Linked DNA regions of Diceros bicornis minor. The protein of the gene in region 1 purifies or fractionates together with the protein of each later gene. This does not show direct contact. Links are inferred from orthologs where the notes say so. Each region holds a gene or a part of one and is shown on either strand. Other genes may lie near its edges.

The links.
Region 2: the proteins of RAB11B (region 1) and PI4KB purify together in Homo sapiens (co-immunoprecipitation; 3 studies listed by BioGRID and IntAct, with this or other methods). This does not show direct contact. The link is inferred for Diceros bicornis minor from reciprocal best matches to the Homo sapiens genes RAB11B and PI4KB.

What each region holds. Positions count from the first base shown.
Region 1 is NW_026691615.1:317,739-325,824, reverse strand, and holds the start of RAB11B (ras-related protein Rab-11B), read left to right. Parts: upstream 1-4,874; 5' UTR 4,875-4,948; coding exon 4,949-4,988; intron 4,989-8,086. UniProt on the Homo sapiens protein: The small GTPases Rab are key regulators of intracellular membrane trafficking, from the formation of transport vesicles to their fusion with membranes.
Region 2 is NC_080743.1:55,590,241-55,598,328, forward strand, and holds the start of PI4KB (phosphatidylinositol 4-kinase beta), read right to left. Parts: upstream 3,054-8,088; 5' UTR 2,712-3,053; exon of another isoform or gene 2,694-2,711; intron 1,582-2,693; 5' UTR 1,393-1,581; coding exon 1,388-1,392; intron 1-1,387. UniProt on the Homo sapiens protein: Phosphorylates phosphatidylinositol (PI) in the first committed step in the production of the second messenger inositol-1,4,5,-trisphosphate (PIP). May regulate Golgi disintegration/reorganization during mitosis, possibly via its phosphorylation.

The DNA.
Region 1 (8,086 bases):
AAAATAAAACAATGCCAGTGCTTTAAAATTCCAGCTAGAAAACTGATCTACGGTGAAAAAAAAAAAACAAACCAAAAAACCCTGAATAGTGGCAGCCCCTGGAAGGGTGGGATGGGAATTGACTGGGAAGGGACATGAGGCAACTTTCCCTCCACAGAGGTGAGTTACTCTGGCATATGCCTTTGTCTTGGTGAATGTACATTTCAGATCTGTGCATATTATTACATGTAAATTTCACCTTCCAAACAAAAACTAAGAAAACAGCCATAAACGATCCTTGAACTCTAGGTAATGATATGCATGCTGAAGTGTTTAGAGGTGAAGTGGACTAACGTCCTTGTTTTATTCGTAATTTTTTTCCAGCTTTATTGAGGTATAATTGCCATATAACATTGTGTAAGTTTAAGGCGTATAAAGTGTTGATTTGATACACTTATATATTGCAAAATGATGACCGCCATAGGGAGCTAACACCTCCATCACGTCGCAGAATTACCATTTCTTTTTCATAGTGAGAACATTGAAGATCTACTCTCTTAGCAACCCTCAAGTATACGATACAGTATTGTTAACTATAATCACCATGCTGTGCATGAGACGCCCCAAATCTTCGACTTTCTTTGAAATGCATCAAAAAATAGGATGATAGATGGGTGGATAGAGATGGATATGCAATAAAGCAAAATATTAATAGTGGACTCTAGGTGTTGCGGATATGAGTATTCTCTACAATTCTTTCCATTTTTCTAAAAGTCCCCAAAATTTCACAACAAAATGCGGGGAAGAAAATTCTAACTAGATCTTGTGGCTTTCTGAAGGCTCTGCTTCTGAGCTCTGTTTAAAGAGGGAGATAAGCATTAGAAAATTGTTCAAGAGATATGAGCAAAAGAGAGTGAGCCTTTCTGTTTGAGGATAATAAAGGATTTCAAGAATTGCAAAAAGGTAAGACTTTCTCAGCATGTGGTTCAACGTTATTTAATGCACTGCCCAGAATAATCATCCATATCATATGGCCTGGAATAATGTGATGCTTTGTCTCCGGGACACATGTTTGGGAAAAACAGCATCTGTCCAAGCCCTGAGCCCCAACTGCTGTTTTCATAGGAGAACCTATCTTTCCAGTATTTCTTGTAAGTGTTCCTTGGAGAGGTCGTGGGGGCTTCTTGCACTAGAGGAAAACCTCCATGCTTTTCCTGTTCCGTGACTCTTCCTGGAAGGTGCTGGGGACACAATGGCTTCCCTGGGGCCCTGGCTGAGTGTAGGTGATGAACTTCTTGGCACTGGGGACAGGCCACTAAAGTTCTGTGGCCTCAGTTCCTGCATCTGCAAAATGGGGATGGTTCTGCTACCCTGCCCTCCCACCCCCACCCCCCACCCCCCACTTCTGTTCTGCTGGTGCTGCAAGGATTTCCTGGAGCATTAAGTGAAAAGCGCTCAGAACAGTGTCTCACTCATGGTGAGCTCACAATATAAACATTAGCCGTCCTTACTAATACTGTTATGATGAGCCATGCTCGGGGTGGGGGCGGGGAGCATGACCCAGACAGGAGAAAAGACTTCACGGTGGATGTGGCTTTTGAGTCAGTTTTCAAAGGAAGAAAATTTTACAAAGATGAGGAGGGAGGGTGGTATTCCAGAAAGAGGTCACTGTGAGAGCCAAAGCCTAGTGGCCTCGGTGGGAAATGCAGCTCCTGTCTGGGGAGCCAGCGCACAGCCCCACCTAGCTGCAGCGAGGGGCAGAAGGCTGGGGAGGGGAACGGCAGGGCGGGTGGGGAAGGGATCTGTGCTGGAATGTGCAGGGCCTCAAGGCAACTGCCCAGGAGTTTGCTGACAAAGGCTGGGAGGCTCCTCCCTGGTCTGGATTTCAGCCTTGCCTTTTCGCCTAATCTCTTTTCTGGCCCCTGGACCCCGCTCTCCAGCCACCATGACCTTCTGGCTGTTCAGACACATCAAGCTCTTTCTCTCACTTGCTTTTGTGTCTGCCTGAAATGCTGTTCCTAATACCTCTTCCCCCTCCTGCGGACTCAGTGCAAATGCCACCTCCTCCAGGATGCCTTCCCTGGCTTCCTAGTGAAGGGGAGGAAGACTATCCTTTACCCACTCTGGGTCCTTTCTGGCTGGGCTACAAATTAAATTGACATGAGACCGCATAGCAGGAGAAAATCCAACAAAGCTTTATAACGTACACATGGGAGAAACCAGGGAAACTGAGTTTCTCAACAAATGGCGGAGGTTTTCACCTTAAATAGCATATTCAGGTAGACAAAGGAGGATGTTGGGGGGGTGGGGAGTCAGCTATGGGAGATTACCAGAAAGCACAATAAACAAGAGTATGCACTGATAAGAGTTTCTAGAGATAAGGTCATCCCCACTTCTTCCTGGTACAGAGAGGGAGATATCTTTACAAATGGACATTTCCCTTCAACAGAACTTTGATAAGAATGGGCTTAGCAAGGACCCTCCCACTCTATCCATACACAGATTTAAATTCATTTAGGCAGTTAGTGGGAAAGGGGTGAGGTCAAAGTTTCTTTCAGAGAAAATAATCAAGGTGAAGAGACATATTTTGAGGGGGCCAATTCCGATCTCCCACTAGCTAAGGAGCTAAGGAGAATAACCCAGGTTATTCTCTTCATTGCATGCCTCCCATTCTGCAATTATCCTGCACATGTTTTTTACTTGCTTCTTATCTGACTGCTCCCAAGAGACTCTCAGCTCCATGAGGGCTGGCACTTTGCATCCCCAGCACCTAGAGTGCTGCCTGACCTCATAGATGCTCAGTAAATGGACGTCCTAAAGGAAGGACTAAAAGATTTTTAAACAGGGGAGCGAGACAACCTGACATGTTTTAAAAACCCCCCTCTGACTGCTGTGGGAAGAACAGACTGTGAAGTGAGGGCAGAGCAGGGGGATCTGGGAGCGGGAAATGCACAGGTCCAGGTGTCACTGACTACGGACCTCGAGAAAGTCAAAGGTGGGTTTGGAAGCAATTAACTGGTTTTTTTTTTTTTTTTTTGCTGAGGAAGATTAGCCCTGGGCCAACATCCGTGCCCATCTTCCTCTACTTTATATGGGACACTGCCACAGCATGGCTTGACAAGCAGTGCGTCGTCAGTGCACGCCTGGGATCTGAACCTGTGAACCTGGCCTCGAAGTGGAGCGCCCACGCTTACCGGCTGCGCCACCAGGATGACCCAGCAATTAACTGTTTTTCCAAGTTGTTTCTTTTCCTTTTGTATATTAAGGAGATGTAACCACCAGCCATCCTGAAACTGACCAAGGGAGGCACTCAAGGGAGATATAACCACCAGCCATGCTGAAACTGACCAAGCCTCACCACAAGAGCTACGCCCACGACCTTTGCCTTATTTTTAATGCAAAAATCTCTCCAGGTGGAGCTTAGGCCTCATGATGTGGAAGCATGTTCTCCAACTGAGCCTGTGCAATCGAATACCTGCCTCTCCCTTTTGAATATTCATTCCCCAACCAAATAAAAGTTCCTGCTTTCCTTGGTTCCCAGACGCCCTGACTTTGGAAATGATTCTTCATGGTCTCCTATTTGCTGCAAATACACTTTACTTTGTGAGACAACTTCCACTGGTGTAGTTTTATTTAACTTACCAGGAGGGGAGGCCACTTGGTTCGGTGTCACAGGGAGTGATGATGGGCGCCAGGATCAGGGTGGTGGCAGTGGAGGGAGTGAGACGTGGTCAGAAATTTGGGAGGGAGAAGAGACACAATAAGGGGAAGGGGCAGAGGGTGGTAAACAATGAGAAAGAGAGAGGAGCCCCTGACTTGTGGCTTTGATGATGGAGGGGGTGGGGGATGGAGACACAGGAGGAAGAGTGGATATGCGGAAAGAGGACAAACAAGTGTCGGGATGCCTGATGGACATCCCAGCGATGAAGTCCAGGAGGCAGTAATAATAATAATTATTGTAACTAGCACATGAGCTCCATGCCTAAGTTGTTCATCACTGGTCAGATATTTATTGAGCACAGGGACACAGCAGTGGTTGTGGCACACACAGTCCCTGCCCTCATGGGGCTGATGTTCTGTTGATGGAGACAAACGAAACAGATTAATGGGTCAAGAAAGAAACACATACTTTAATGTCAGGTAGCGATAAGTCCTGGGGGAGAGGGTGGAATAAAACAGGGTAAGTGGACAGACGAGGGGAGGAGACCATGTTGGAGAGTCTGACGCCCAGTAAGGATTTATAAATATTTGTTAATCAAAGACTTAAAGACAGAATGTGGACGGCTGATTTAGTGTGCGTTTAGGGACAAGATCTAGTTATCTTCCAAAGATTCCACGAGGTTTCTTCCCTGTTATACAGATGAAGGAAACTGATGCAGAACGGTATCGCAATGAGACACCAATACAGTGATGGAAAGTGCAACCGAGAGAGGAGAGGTGACCTCTAATGGAAAAGACCTCGGGGAGAGGCCCCCCAGACAGGGTCATTTATGGGGCGGGGAGGCAGAGCAGCGTGCACAGACCTATGACGTCATCGGGACGTTACATAGCGTAACATCACCTGGACGTAGCGCTATTTCCCTCCCCGGACAGGTCCTCAGGCAGTCGGGTACGGTCTGAATTAAGCCTCTCATTGGCTACTCGCTCCGTCAATCCGTTTCATTCTTCCCTTCTTCCGTCCCGCCTTCCTAAACCCGCCTTTGATAGGCTGGCGCAGCTGTCACTTCAGAAAGGGCCGCATTCCTTCCGCCTTTCTCCAGGAGACCAGGAGCGCGGAGGGCGGATCCTAGCGGCGCCCACCCCTGGGACTCTGCTTCCACCTCTGATTGGCTGCCCTGGGTGCCGGTCGCTACGCCACCCGCCGCAGATTAGCCATCCGGCCGCCGCTCTGCGCGGCGCCGGTTCCGCCCCCGTCGGGTGTTTGTGGTGGGGCTGCGGAGTCGCCGATCCCGCCGGAAGCACCAGGACAATGGGGACCCGGGACGACGAGTACGACTACCTATTCAAAGGTGTGGCCGGTGGGGCACAGACGGGCGAGGGCGCGGCGGCGAGGCGGCGGGCAGGCGGGCCGGCGGGCCGAGGTTGCGTTCCAGGCCGCTGGGCCCAGGCCGGAGCCCGGGGCTTGGGGCCCGGCGGGTCAGGCAGCCGGGAAGGCCGGGGTGGGCCAGGCTCAGTCAGCTTCGGGCCGGGGTGCGCGACCGTGCGGAGCGGGCGGCCCAGGGAGCCCTGGGGGCCCTGGATGAGCCGGGGCGGAGCTGGGGCACAGAGGGGGTGGGGCCCGGAGCGGTGGGAGAGGCCGTTAGGGGCGGGGCCTCAGGAGGGGCGGGGCCGCCCCAGCATTCGGCGGGCCGGGCTGGGTGGAAAGCTCCCTTCGTGGTGGGGGCGGGGCCTTGGAGGCGGGGGCTAGGCGGTAGTGGGCGTGTCCAAGAACTTGCTGGGGCCGGGCGCTTCACGGGGTGGGAGGGGCCAGACCTGATTGGTGGCAGCGCGTCTGGGGGCGGGGCCTTGGAAGGGCGAGGCGGACAATGGGGGTTGAAATGTGTGGGGGGGAGCCTGGATTGGGGTGCGGACCCCGAATTGCGTGGAGGGGCACGTGGGGGGACTGTGTGTGCTGGACCCGGGCCCCGTGTTTAACAGCAACAATTATATCTCTTAATTATTAGAACATTAACAGCACTGTCCAAATACCTGCGTTTTTCTAAGCACTTTATACTCATGTAGTCATTGAAATCCTCAAAACCATGTGAGGTCGGTATTATCCAGCCTTTCTCTTTATGGACCTGGAAACTGGCTCAGAGAGACGAGTGTTAAGTGTTGGAGCAGGACTTGAGCCTAGATCAGCTGTGGGCTTTACCACTTAGGAAGTGTGGCGGGGGGCGGGGGGGGGTGGCGCGGCTTGCAGCCAGGATCTGGGGCCGAGGTTGTCAGACTGCCTCCCCCAACACGTGCGCGCTGATGGCTGGGCCTCACCAACCCTGCCCCGGGGGTAGAGGGCTCTAAGAGCCTCAAGTAAGGCTGAGGCAGATCAGGCAGCCATTGCCCGCCTGGGGCCAGTGGGGAGCTCATTCACCCTGCCCCTCAAGCTGGGAGATTCCCTCCTGATTGGGGGGTCACTGGCTTCACAGTGCCTCTGTGCCAAGCTGGGCTTCGGTCAGGGCCTGTGCTGGGCTCCCTGGCTGACAGTGGCCACCCTTGAGGCTAACCCCTGGGCCCACGTGGGGCACCTTGGCCCTGCTGCCTGCGGGTCTGTCTCCCATGCCAGCTGTTGGCATCTTCCCCTCGATGGGGGAGCCTGGCCAGCCCTGAGAGTGTGGTCTGTGTCTGTCACTGCCCATTGTGTCTGTAGTATTATCTAGCATGTGGGGGCCTGGGGACCTTGGGGACCTGGACATTGGGGTGGAATGCTCCGTACCTGGGATATCCATGTGGCGAAAGGCTTCTGGGCAGAGGGGGTGCCCATGCAAAGGCCCAGGGTCGTCACACAGCTCCATGGGCTTGGCGAGATGCGTGCAGGCTGCTATGTCGCTGGCCAGTGAGGCTGTGTGGTCGGCAGGCATCAGGCCAAAGCCCTGGTGCTGCCGGCTGAGCCTTGGGGTCTCACCTAAGAGCGAGGGAAGCTCTATCAGGGCTCTGGGGACTGGTGACAGGTGGACCGGACTCCAGTCCTGCTGCACCTGGTGCCTGTCTTTGCTCTGCCCGCCCTGAGACATCTGCTCCCCAGGTCCGGGCTGGGCACTCACCCGGATGTGGCACTGCCAGGGCAGAAGGCATTCCCAGTGGCCACCTCCAGGTTTCTGTGGTCATTCCCCGCTTGTTATTTTCAACTGTTTGCTGTTATAAATAACCCAGGTCCAAGCGTTTGCACAAGTCATCTTTTGCTCTTTGGGTTATTTCCTTGAAGTTTGTTCCCAGAAGTACAGTTACTGGGTCAGGGGCAATGGAGCGGTCGTGTGCTTCCCGGGATGCATCTCCAGGGTCCGCTTCCTGGAAACACTGATCTGGCTCCTGTGGCAACTGGTACGTGGTGGGGGCGGGGGGTGCCTGCGCCACTGCCCTCCCCCTCTGGCCTCCTTTTTCTGAGTCGAGCAGGTGCCTTCCAGTCGGGGGAGCCCTTCAGGAGCGGAGAGGGCAGCGATCCTCTGCCCCCTGCCCTGTGCGCAGCCTCCCTCAGGCTTCAGTCACTTTCCCCTGGCCCTGCCCTGGGCACAGAGGGGCCACCCCTCTCCCTTGGGACACTGGCTGCCCCCTGTCCTGCCCTCCTTCAGTGCCTTGTGTTATTTGGCAGCCACATCATATCTTGGATCCCCTGACCTGCTCGGCTAAGGCCAACAGACCCCCGTTGGTGCTGTGTGCTGTTTATTTTCCTCCTTGCACATTCTGCCCTCCCCTAGGAATGAGGTTGTTTATTTGTAGCTAATTATAGATCCTTACATTTATCCTGCTAACATTTTATAACCTGGGACCATCTTCCCAGCCTGCCCATTGATCCCCAGGGGTCGCCCCTGACCTCTCCTCTGATGGACTGGCTGTGGGGTCCACAGTGGGTGCAGCTGTGTCCCCAGGGGCCACCGAGGCCTTCCCGGAGCCCCCAGGCACTCACCTGGCCTGTGAGGACGTGGCTGGTGTGGGAAGCTGCCGTGGTGGCCCAGGGCCCTCTCCTCTGGATTGGCCCCTGCCCCATCTAGGAGTCCTTCTGGGGAGGTGCCAGGAGCGAGTGGCAGCTGGCTCCCGGGAAACAGGCCAGCCCCAGTGCTCGGCCCCTCTGCTGGGTGCTCCTGAGGCAGCCTCCCCTCTCTAGCCCGGGCAGGGCCCCCCACCCAGCCCCCCTGGTCCAGGATCTGAGCACACCATCTTCCCCATTGCCAGTGGAGGCTCTGCCTGTGCCTTGACTTTGGGCCCCTGTCCTCTGCTCTCTGATTCCCTAGGGAATGGCTGTGGCAGGGTTGCCCCAAGTTCCAGTCGCTGGGGCCTGGGATGGTCAGGGCCAGCTTCCTAGAGGAGAGGCGGGGCCCTGCTCTGCCTGGAGTAGGGGAGCCAGCCCTCCAGCTGAATGGCCACTCAGTCCGCCTGAGCTCAGAGTGTGGGCCCCAGGGATGCCACACTGTCA
Region 2 (8,088 bases), on another chromosome or scaffold:
GACACCAGGTAAATGCTTACCCAAGGCCCCAAGGGGGGCTGGCATCAGGGGAGAGGGCATTCTTAAGGTACCAGCAGGAGGTAGGGAGGGTAGTGGTCTCAGGATAGTTAAGTCAATATTGAATCAGGCTGAGAACTCTCTGTGCAGGGCCATGGAGCTGGTATAAGCAGATTCCAGCCAGACAGCCCAAGCCAGCTCTGAGAGCCCCTGCTGAAACAGACAGATGGCAAAGAAAGCAACCTGCATGCTCACCTCTCTTTCAACTGTTCCTCCCTGCTGAAAGCCCCAAATGCGCGTAGACTAGGCCCTCTCTTGTCTCATGCCGATTACTGAAAGGTTTCTCCCAAACTTCTTCCCCAAATGAAAGAATCTCAATTTGCTGCTTTGGATGGTGTTCAGCAAACATGTTCTCATGCAGTGTGGACTCAGCTCTGAGAAGGAAGTAGGGAAACTAGGGGAAATATGATTTCTCTTTGGGAGTGCTTCCAAGGAGTGAAGTTGCTCCTAAAAAGGGGGATTATGAGTAGACTACACTCTGGGTAATGAGGAAGGAGATAAGGGAAAAGTGGGACAAGGTAGCATGATTACTTTCAAACAGGCCTAGAGCCAGAAGATGAATGGAACTTCACGTGCCCTCTTCGCTATTGCAGGCCGAGAGAGACATGGCATAAAGGGAGCAACTAGTTTCCTAAGTCTCAACTCACTCCAAGTTCTCTTTTCCAGCCAGCTTCCTCAAAGGGCTTTTCTACAAACATACTTTCAACCTATAGAATCTGGAGTTATGGTTCAAGTATAAGAGGAACAGCACAGGTGCTCAGCAACTTAATGCAGTGGGAAAAAAAGCAAGGTAGATGAAAGAAGCAGGCCTAGAGTTTGTCTCTCAAACTGACTTACTCCCATGGTCGTAGACTAGAACGACCCAACAGAGAGACCAAGATGAAGGAAAATTCTCAGGACAACTAAACCACTACTAATAAATACCTTTTGTCTGAGGAACTAAGAATGTTTTGTAAACAAATAAACCAAGTCTGATTTCCCCCCCAACCCACATCCTGTTATTAGCTTATTACTGCACTGATGCTTATAGAGTGGGCCATTTTCCCAAAAAGGTCACTCTAGAGGTCAAGCGAGGAAGTCACATGCTGAACCTAGGTGTCCTGATTCTGAATGTACAAGCTCTTTCCATTGTCTCATGTTCCTTTTCCCAGTTAGCCCCAATCCCACCCCAGGCCTAAGCGCTTATGGAATCAACCGAAACTATTTTAGTAAGCCACAGACAGTAAACTGATTCCTCTTGGATCTGGACAGGGGTGGGAAGACACTCTATTCTGTGATCCCTTTAAGACAAGCCTAAAATTAAATAACCCAAAACAAAACTTCTCACAACCTCATTCAGTTCCCATGCAGGCTTGTTCATCCCTCCTAGTGGCTGATCCTGAGTAGTCAACAAAGTGTAATCTGATAGGGACTTCAAAACTTGCTCCATCCTTCAGAAACACCCTCTGTCCAGAAAAGCCTGAGAGAGCTGAGGCTCCCCTTCCTCCCAACACATTTTCTTCTTAGTTCAAGGTTTAGCTGATCCTGAAATACGTGACATGTGGAGATAAACAGTGTGACAGAGAACACATAAAGACCATAAAGGAAAACAGAACCAAGTTTCACAAGGATCAGCAAAATCCTTGAAACTCAAAGGAGAAGGTGTATGGGCCGGCCCCGTGGCTTAGCGGTTAAGTGCGCGTGCTCCGCTGCTGGCGGCCCGGGGTTCGAATCCCGGGCGTGCACTGACGCACCGCTTCTCCAGCCATGCTGAGGCCGTGTCCCACATGCAGCAACTAGAAGGATGTGCAGCTATGACATACAACTATCTACTGGGGCTTTGGGGGGAAAAAATAAATAAATAAAAATTAAAAAAAAAAGGGAAGGTGTCAAAGTTGGAAATCTTTAATGGGAAGGGACACTGTCAGATCCTCTCTCTTCTATAGGAACAAACCTCCAGAGGTTGGAGGATTGAGGAAAGGGAAGCTAAAGAAAGTTACAGGGATCATAAAGCACTCCTGAGAAAAAGCGTAAGGATTAAGGTCAAAGTAGAATGCAAATTGTACTTTGGGAATGGTGATGAGGGCCTGAGATCCCTTAAGGAAAGGGGAATAGGCAATTCTTGGAAGCCAGGAGCAGGGTGGGTGGGTGGCAGTGAGGTAATGGAATCAGAAGCAGCAGAGGAAGAGAGGGCTACAATCTTTAGCCCAGGGAAATGAGAACCCAGTGCTGGGGTTGCACAGAAACATCGGAGGAAAGAGGCAAAACAGGAAAAGGGATAAAGGTGGAGGCCATGAGAATGGTTTGGGGCAGGAGCACACACGACGAGGAAGGACAAACGAGGGTCGACATTATAAAAGGCGTCCTGATGTGGAAAGAGTTCACGACTTAAGAGAAGATAATTCGGGACGGAGGCAACAAGGATAAGAGTGAGGGAGGGGGGAATCCCCGGGACGGAGGGCGGAGCTAAATAGAAGAGGAAGCCAAAAAGCAGAGGAGGACCCCAGGCTTGAGAGGAAAGGGTGGAGAAGGGACCGGGGTGCAGCTGCCACCGGGAGGGCAGTTTTCTAGTCGAACACAGCTGTGGGGGCGGGGGGCGGCTATGCGGGACAGGGTTAGAAAGGGACCCCCCAACACACAGGACAAGGAGGACTCACCCAGTAGGAGTCGCTTACCTCCGGGGGACCCCCGCGGAGGGAGTGCGGGCGGTCGGGGTCGGGCTGCCGACACCGCCGCCTCAGCAGCAGCGGCCGCTCCCGGGTTCCATTGGCCGCCTGCGCTTCCCTGACAGCGGCCGCGGCGGCTGCACCAGGCCCCGGCTGCGGGGCTGCCCTCGGCGCCGCCTGAAGGGTCCTTCGCGTTGCCTCAAGTTCGACTGGGCCGCAAAACCTCCTCTTCCTCCGTCCGCACAACCAAGACCAAAAAAAAAAAAAAGAAAAAATCCCCAGCAGGGCTCGATTCTTCTTCTGAATGCAAGCCCTTCGTCTTTGGATATGCTTTCCTGCTTCTCCGACGCTCAGGACCCTACAGATCCCATGGTACTCTAAGGAGTCGGGTGAGCTGCCTGGAACATGCCTGTTCAGAAATAGAAAAAGGGGCGGGGAAGAGATAGTTGGAAGCTGGGGAGGGAGGAGAGGACGAAGGGAGGAGCCTACGGGTAGGAGGAGGGGCTAATCTTTGGAGGCAGACAAGTGATAGCGTTTGCGAGGCTAAGGAAGCCGACAGGGAAGTAAAATTTGCTGGATAAGGGGCAGGGGCTCCTGGGCTAGAGTAGAGACCGGCAGGGGGCAGGCGGGCGTGGGTGCTCTGTTAGAGGAGAAGTACAGACATACTGCGTACTTCCATAAGTACACGAACATGCGAATTATATGTAAATGAGTCTATTTGAGTTAGCAACCGAGTTATCATAATTGCAATCATTGGCTTTCCCCCCTCCCTTGTTCCACACGACTCCCTTAGTAAATCAGGCCGCGGGATGGACACTGGAGGCCCAGTGGGGAGAAGAGAAAGAGAGAGGGCGGGCGGGGAGGATAGTCACCCTCACTATCCTTTTTCTATTTATCTTTAAGGACGATGCCAAGATTATGCTCCTTATCGCTTCGGGAATGGCGTGATCCAACCGGGTCAATCTTTCGCCGTTAGCGGTGCGACTGGAGGCCGCGGTTCTGCCTCCGAGGTCACCACCTGCCTGGTCACCCTTTGGCCTCCAGCCTCTGGACATCGATCCCTCCGGAGACGGGCTGAACAGAGCCAGTTTGGGAGAGGTGAGTGAAATGACAGAGGCTTGGAGAGCACAACCCCTCTTCAGAAACAACAAAACCGTATAAAACAAATAAACAAAAACACGCCCTATTCACGGACCTCTGGTGTTGGTTTTGTGTATTTGTTTATTAGCATTATTGATTGGGAGCCCTCGCCCTCAGAACCTCTGTCCCATCCCTCATGGGCCTTACTTAATATTCTACATCGAAACTAGTTATTTGGGCCCAGATCTTGGATGCCACCTTCCCTGCCACTTAAAGGCTGTTTGATTTGGGGTGACTGATTTAACCTCTTTGAACCTCAGTTTCTATGTCTGCAAAGTGGATCCAGGAATACTAACACTTTACAGGGTTTTGTGAGGATTTAAAGAGAGAGTACAGATTCCTACCATGGTACTGTATTACTATTATTGGGACAATAATGTAGGATAGATGATGAAAGAAAAGAGGTCACTGCTTCCATGTTTAATTGGGAGGCAGAATAAAGAGTAATAGCTTCAAGATATCTATGTAAAACATGCAATATGTACAAAAGTAAAACAAATGGAGTACCTAATTGCTGAAGGAACATAGAGGAGTATGGTTAATTAATGCAGAAGGCATAGCCACTCAGTATATGGTGAATGAATGAATGGAAGGCTTCTCAAAAATATTGTGAGCCAGGTTTTAGAAGAGATATTATATATGATCCAGCAGAACAAGAAAGAGCAGAGAGCATTCTGAAGGCTAAACAATTGTATGTTGAAGAATAGAAATGTGAATTTGCTCAAATCACGAGGAGAAGGCAGACTGATAAGCTAGGTTAAAGCAGGAATACAGTAATGAAAGATGAGCAGAGAAAGAAGCTGAGAGTGCCAAAGATAGTTTAAATTTGTCACCACTGGTCTGGAGTGGGGAATCACCAGTCCACCTGTCAGGCCCAGCGGCTCTTGGCCAGCTTCCAATCAGCTGTCAGGCAACTACCAAGAGGTGATAACCCTGCTTTAGCCTAGAGTTTAAAATGTCACACATCCTCACACATCCATCTCCTCGAGGGGTAGGGTTCCAAAGGGCCATATGACCAACTTTTTGAAACACTGTAAAAAGAGATGTGACAGCCCTACTTTTTATAATAGGAAGTTTATTTTCCAATGACGAAAAAACCAAGATTTCAGGAAAATCTCTGTTCAGACTTTACTAGGAACTTTTATAGCTTCAGGCAGTTATAAGTCCTTTATTAACCCAGTGAGACCCCCTCCCATACACACACACACAGGGTATTAAGTAGAAGAGTTTGTTTCAAGTTTTCTATGTTTATAGCTCTAAGGGCTCATATGTGTAAATTTCTTTGCATCTCTTTATGACTTTTTCTTTCTGACTTCTGGAATTCTTTTTGGTTACCCTTTGTTTCTCTGAGTCTCCAAACTCCTCTAGTCTGAGCTCCTCAAGGCAGGAAAGGATTCATCCTTGTATACTAGCTGTATCCTTAGTTTCTAACATAGAAAAAATATATATATTGGCTGTATAGCAACAGATTGAATGCAGAAGCAGATATGAGAATCCAATCAGGCATTAAAAAGATTTCCAAAACTGTAAAACAATGCCAACTGATTTTTTTTTTTTTTTGGTTTGGGAAAATAGTTTTTCCATAAGTGAATCAATAAATTAAAAATATTTAGGGGCCGGCCCCATGGCTTAGCGGTTAAGTGCGAGCGCTCCGCTGCCGGCGGCCCGGGTTCAGATCCTGGGTGCGCACCGACACACCGCTTCTCCGGCCATGCTGAGGCCACGTCCCACATGCAGCAACTAGAAGGCTGTGCAACTATGGCATACAACTATCTACTGGGGCTTTGGGGGAAAAAAAAAATATTTACAAATAAATATTCTAAATTATTATTTTTTTGTGTGTGCGGATGATCAGCCCTGAGCTAACATCCATGCCTAATCCTCTTTTTTTTTTTGGTGAGGAAGACCAGTCCTGAGCTAACATCTATTGCCAATCCTCCTCCTCTTTTCCCCTTTTTCTCCCCAAAGCCCTGGTAGATACTTGTGTGTCATAGTTGCACATCCTTCTAGTTGCTGTATGTGGGACACTGCCTCAGCATGGCCGGAGAAACGGTGCGTCAGTGCCCACCTGGGATCCGAACCTGGGCCGCCATTATCGGAGCGCACGCACTTAACCGCTAAGCCACGGGGCCGGCCCCCTCTAAATTATTTTTTCTTCCCCCCCTTCCTATTTGCTTTTCTTCTTTTCTCCTCAGTCTCTTTAACTGTCAAATTATAAAACTGAATGCTATTCTTTGTTTCCCATATTAAATTAAAAGTGTAACATTTATGATGTTCTCTAAAATTCCTCACTGTACTGAACCTTTTTAAAATTCTCATTTGATGGAAAAAAAAAAAATACTGTTTACCTCTATCTTAGGTCCCAGGGAGCTGCTGCACATGGATGACATGTGACCCTATGGGAACCGATACTGTCCTGTGTGCATGTGAAGCCTCTTGCTTTGGTGGGAAAGTATGGATGTGTGTGGGAAAGTATGGATGTGTGTGGTAGGAAAGTAGGGAGGGCAGGAAAGTCCCAACAGGGTCAGGTAATGTCATTTATTTATCTTAAATTTCATGAAATTGGAGAAAGAAGTTGGCTTATTCATCAAAAGTTGGTAAAACTGGAGGACCTAGGTCATACTATAGCTCTCGTTATACACATATATTTTTTTGTGAGGAAGATCAGCCCTGAACTAACATCCATGCCAATCCTCCTCTTTTTTTGCTGAGGAAGACCGGCCCTGAGCTAACATCTATTGCCAATTCTCCTCCTTTTTTTTTACCCCCTTTTTCTCCCCAAAGTCCCAGTAGATAGTTGTATGTCATAGTTGCACATCCTTCTGGTTGCTGTATGTGGGACGCCGCCTCAACATGGCCTGACAAGTGGTGCGTCAGTGCGCGCCGGGATCCAAACCCGGGCCGCCAGTATCGGAGCGCATGCACTTAACCACTAAGCCACGGTGCCGGCCCCTCTCCCGTTCTATTTTAAACACCGTTGTGGTTGAAGAAATTATAGAGTGATTTTTTTTTTCCTGAACCATAGATATTATGGGTCTTTTTTCAGAGAAAAGAAAAAGAAGCTCGCAGTTACTGCTCGAGCCCCTACTGTGTATGAGTACAAACATTATCTCATTTATTTCTCATTACAACCTGTGAAAGAGATTTTTATCCCATTTTATGGAAACTGAGCTTCAGAATGGGTAAGTCATTGTTTTTCAAAATTGTTTTCCTTCAACCCACAATAATACATTTTATATTCTGACCACTGAAGAACACATAGACATGTCTTCACTGAAATAAAAGTTTCATGAACCAATACTTACCCTTACCATGTGCAATGCACTCTGATACTTTCTATTCTATTTTATTTATTTATTATTAAAAATACCGTTTTACATCCTGCTAAATCAGTCTCACAATTCACTAATGGGTTGCAATCTACAGTTTGAAAAAACTGGACTAAATAAATGTTCAGGATCATACAGAAAGTCGTAAAGCTAAGATCTGAAGTTATGCTCTTTCCAGTAAACAAATGCCTCCTTATGAACATTTCTTAAGAAATGCTGTATTATATATGTCATGCTTAGCTTTATCTCATAGGATGGAGCCAGCAAGATGATCCTAGACAAAGAAGGAATAGGCCTCCTGAGGAACCATATGTGAAACACTTAGACAAATATGTCATGACATTAACTCCCCTGTTCAGTATGAGTAAATGTGGCATCTGCTTTGATTTCTAAAGAAAGTTGATTGTTATCCACAAAAAATAAACAATAAAGTCATTTATTTGGGGTCATAGACTAGACATGTAGAGTTTTTCTTGGTTTAATGGCAAACGATTATTTCAAATTTTAGTAAATTATAAATTATCTTTAACTTTATGATAGGGCTTAATTTATGAAATGAAGAAAGACAACATGGGGGGAAAGGTATCGTGAGTGGGGAATGGGGTACTGGGGAGAGAATGAGGAATGGTAGAGAGGAAGGAATAGGCAGTCCCCCAAATCTTAGTTTAGCCCTTCATCTGATGAACTGAAGATTGCCTGCACTATAAAAGAATAACTTGTTTCATGTTAGATTTTTAAAATAGGGTAAATTTTTAAAATAGGCTACTTAAAAACCCTGTAACATTCATGCAAATCTCAAAATCATCCAGTGGCCTGGTCTCTCAAAGTGAATGGATACACCCCCAAACCGAGTCGTGGTGGGGACAATATTTCCTTGGATGCTTCTGTCAGTTCTATAACCAGTGGTTTATTTTCCC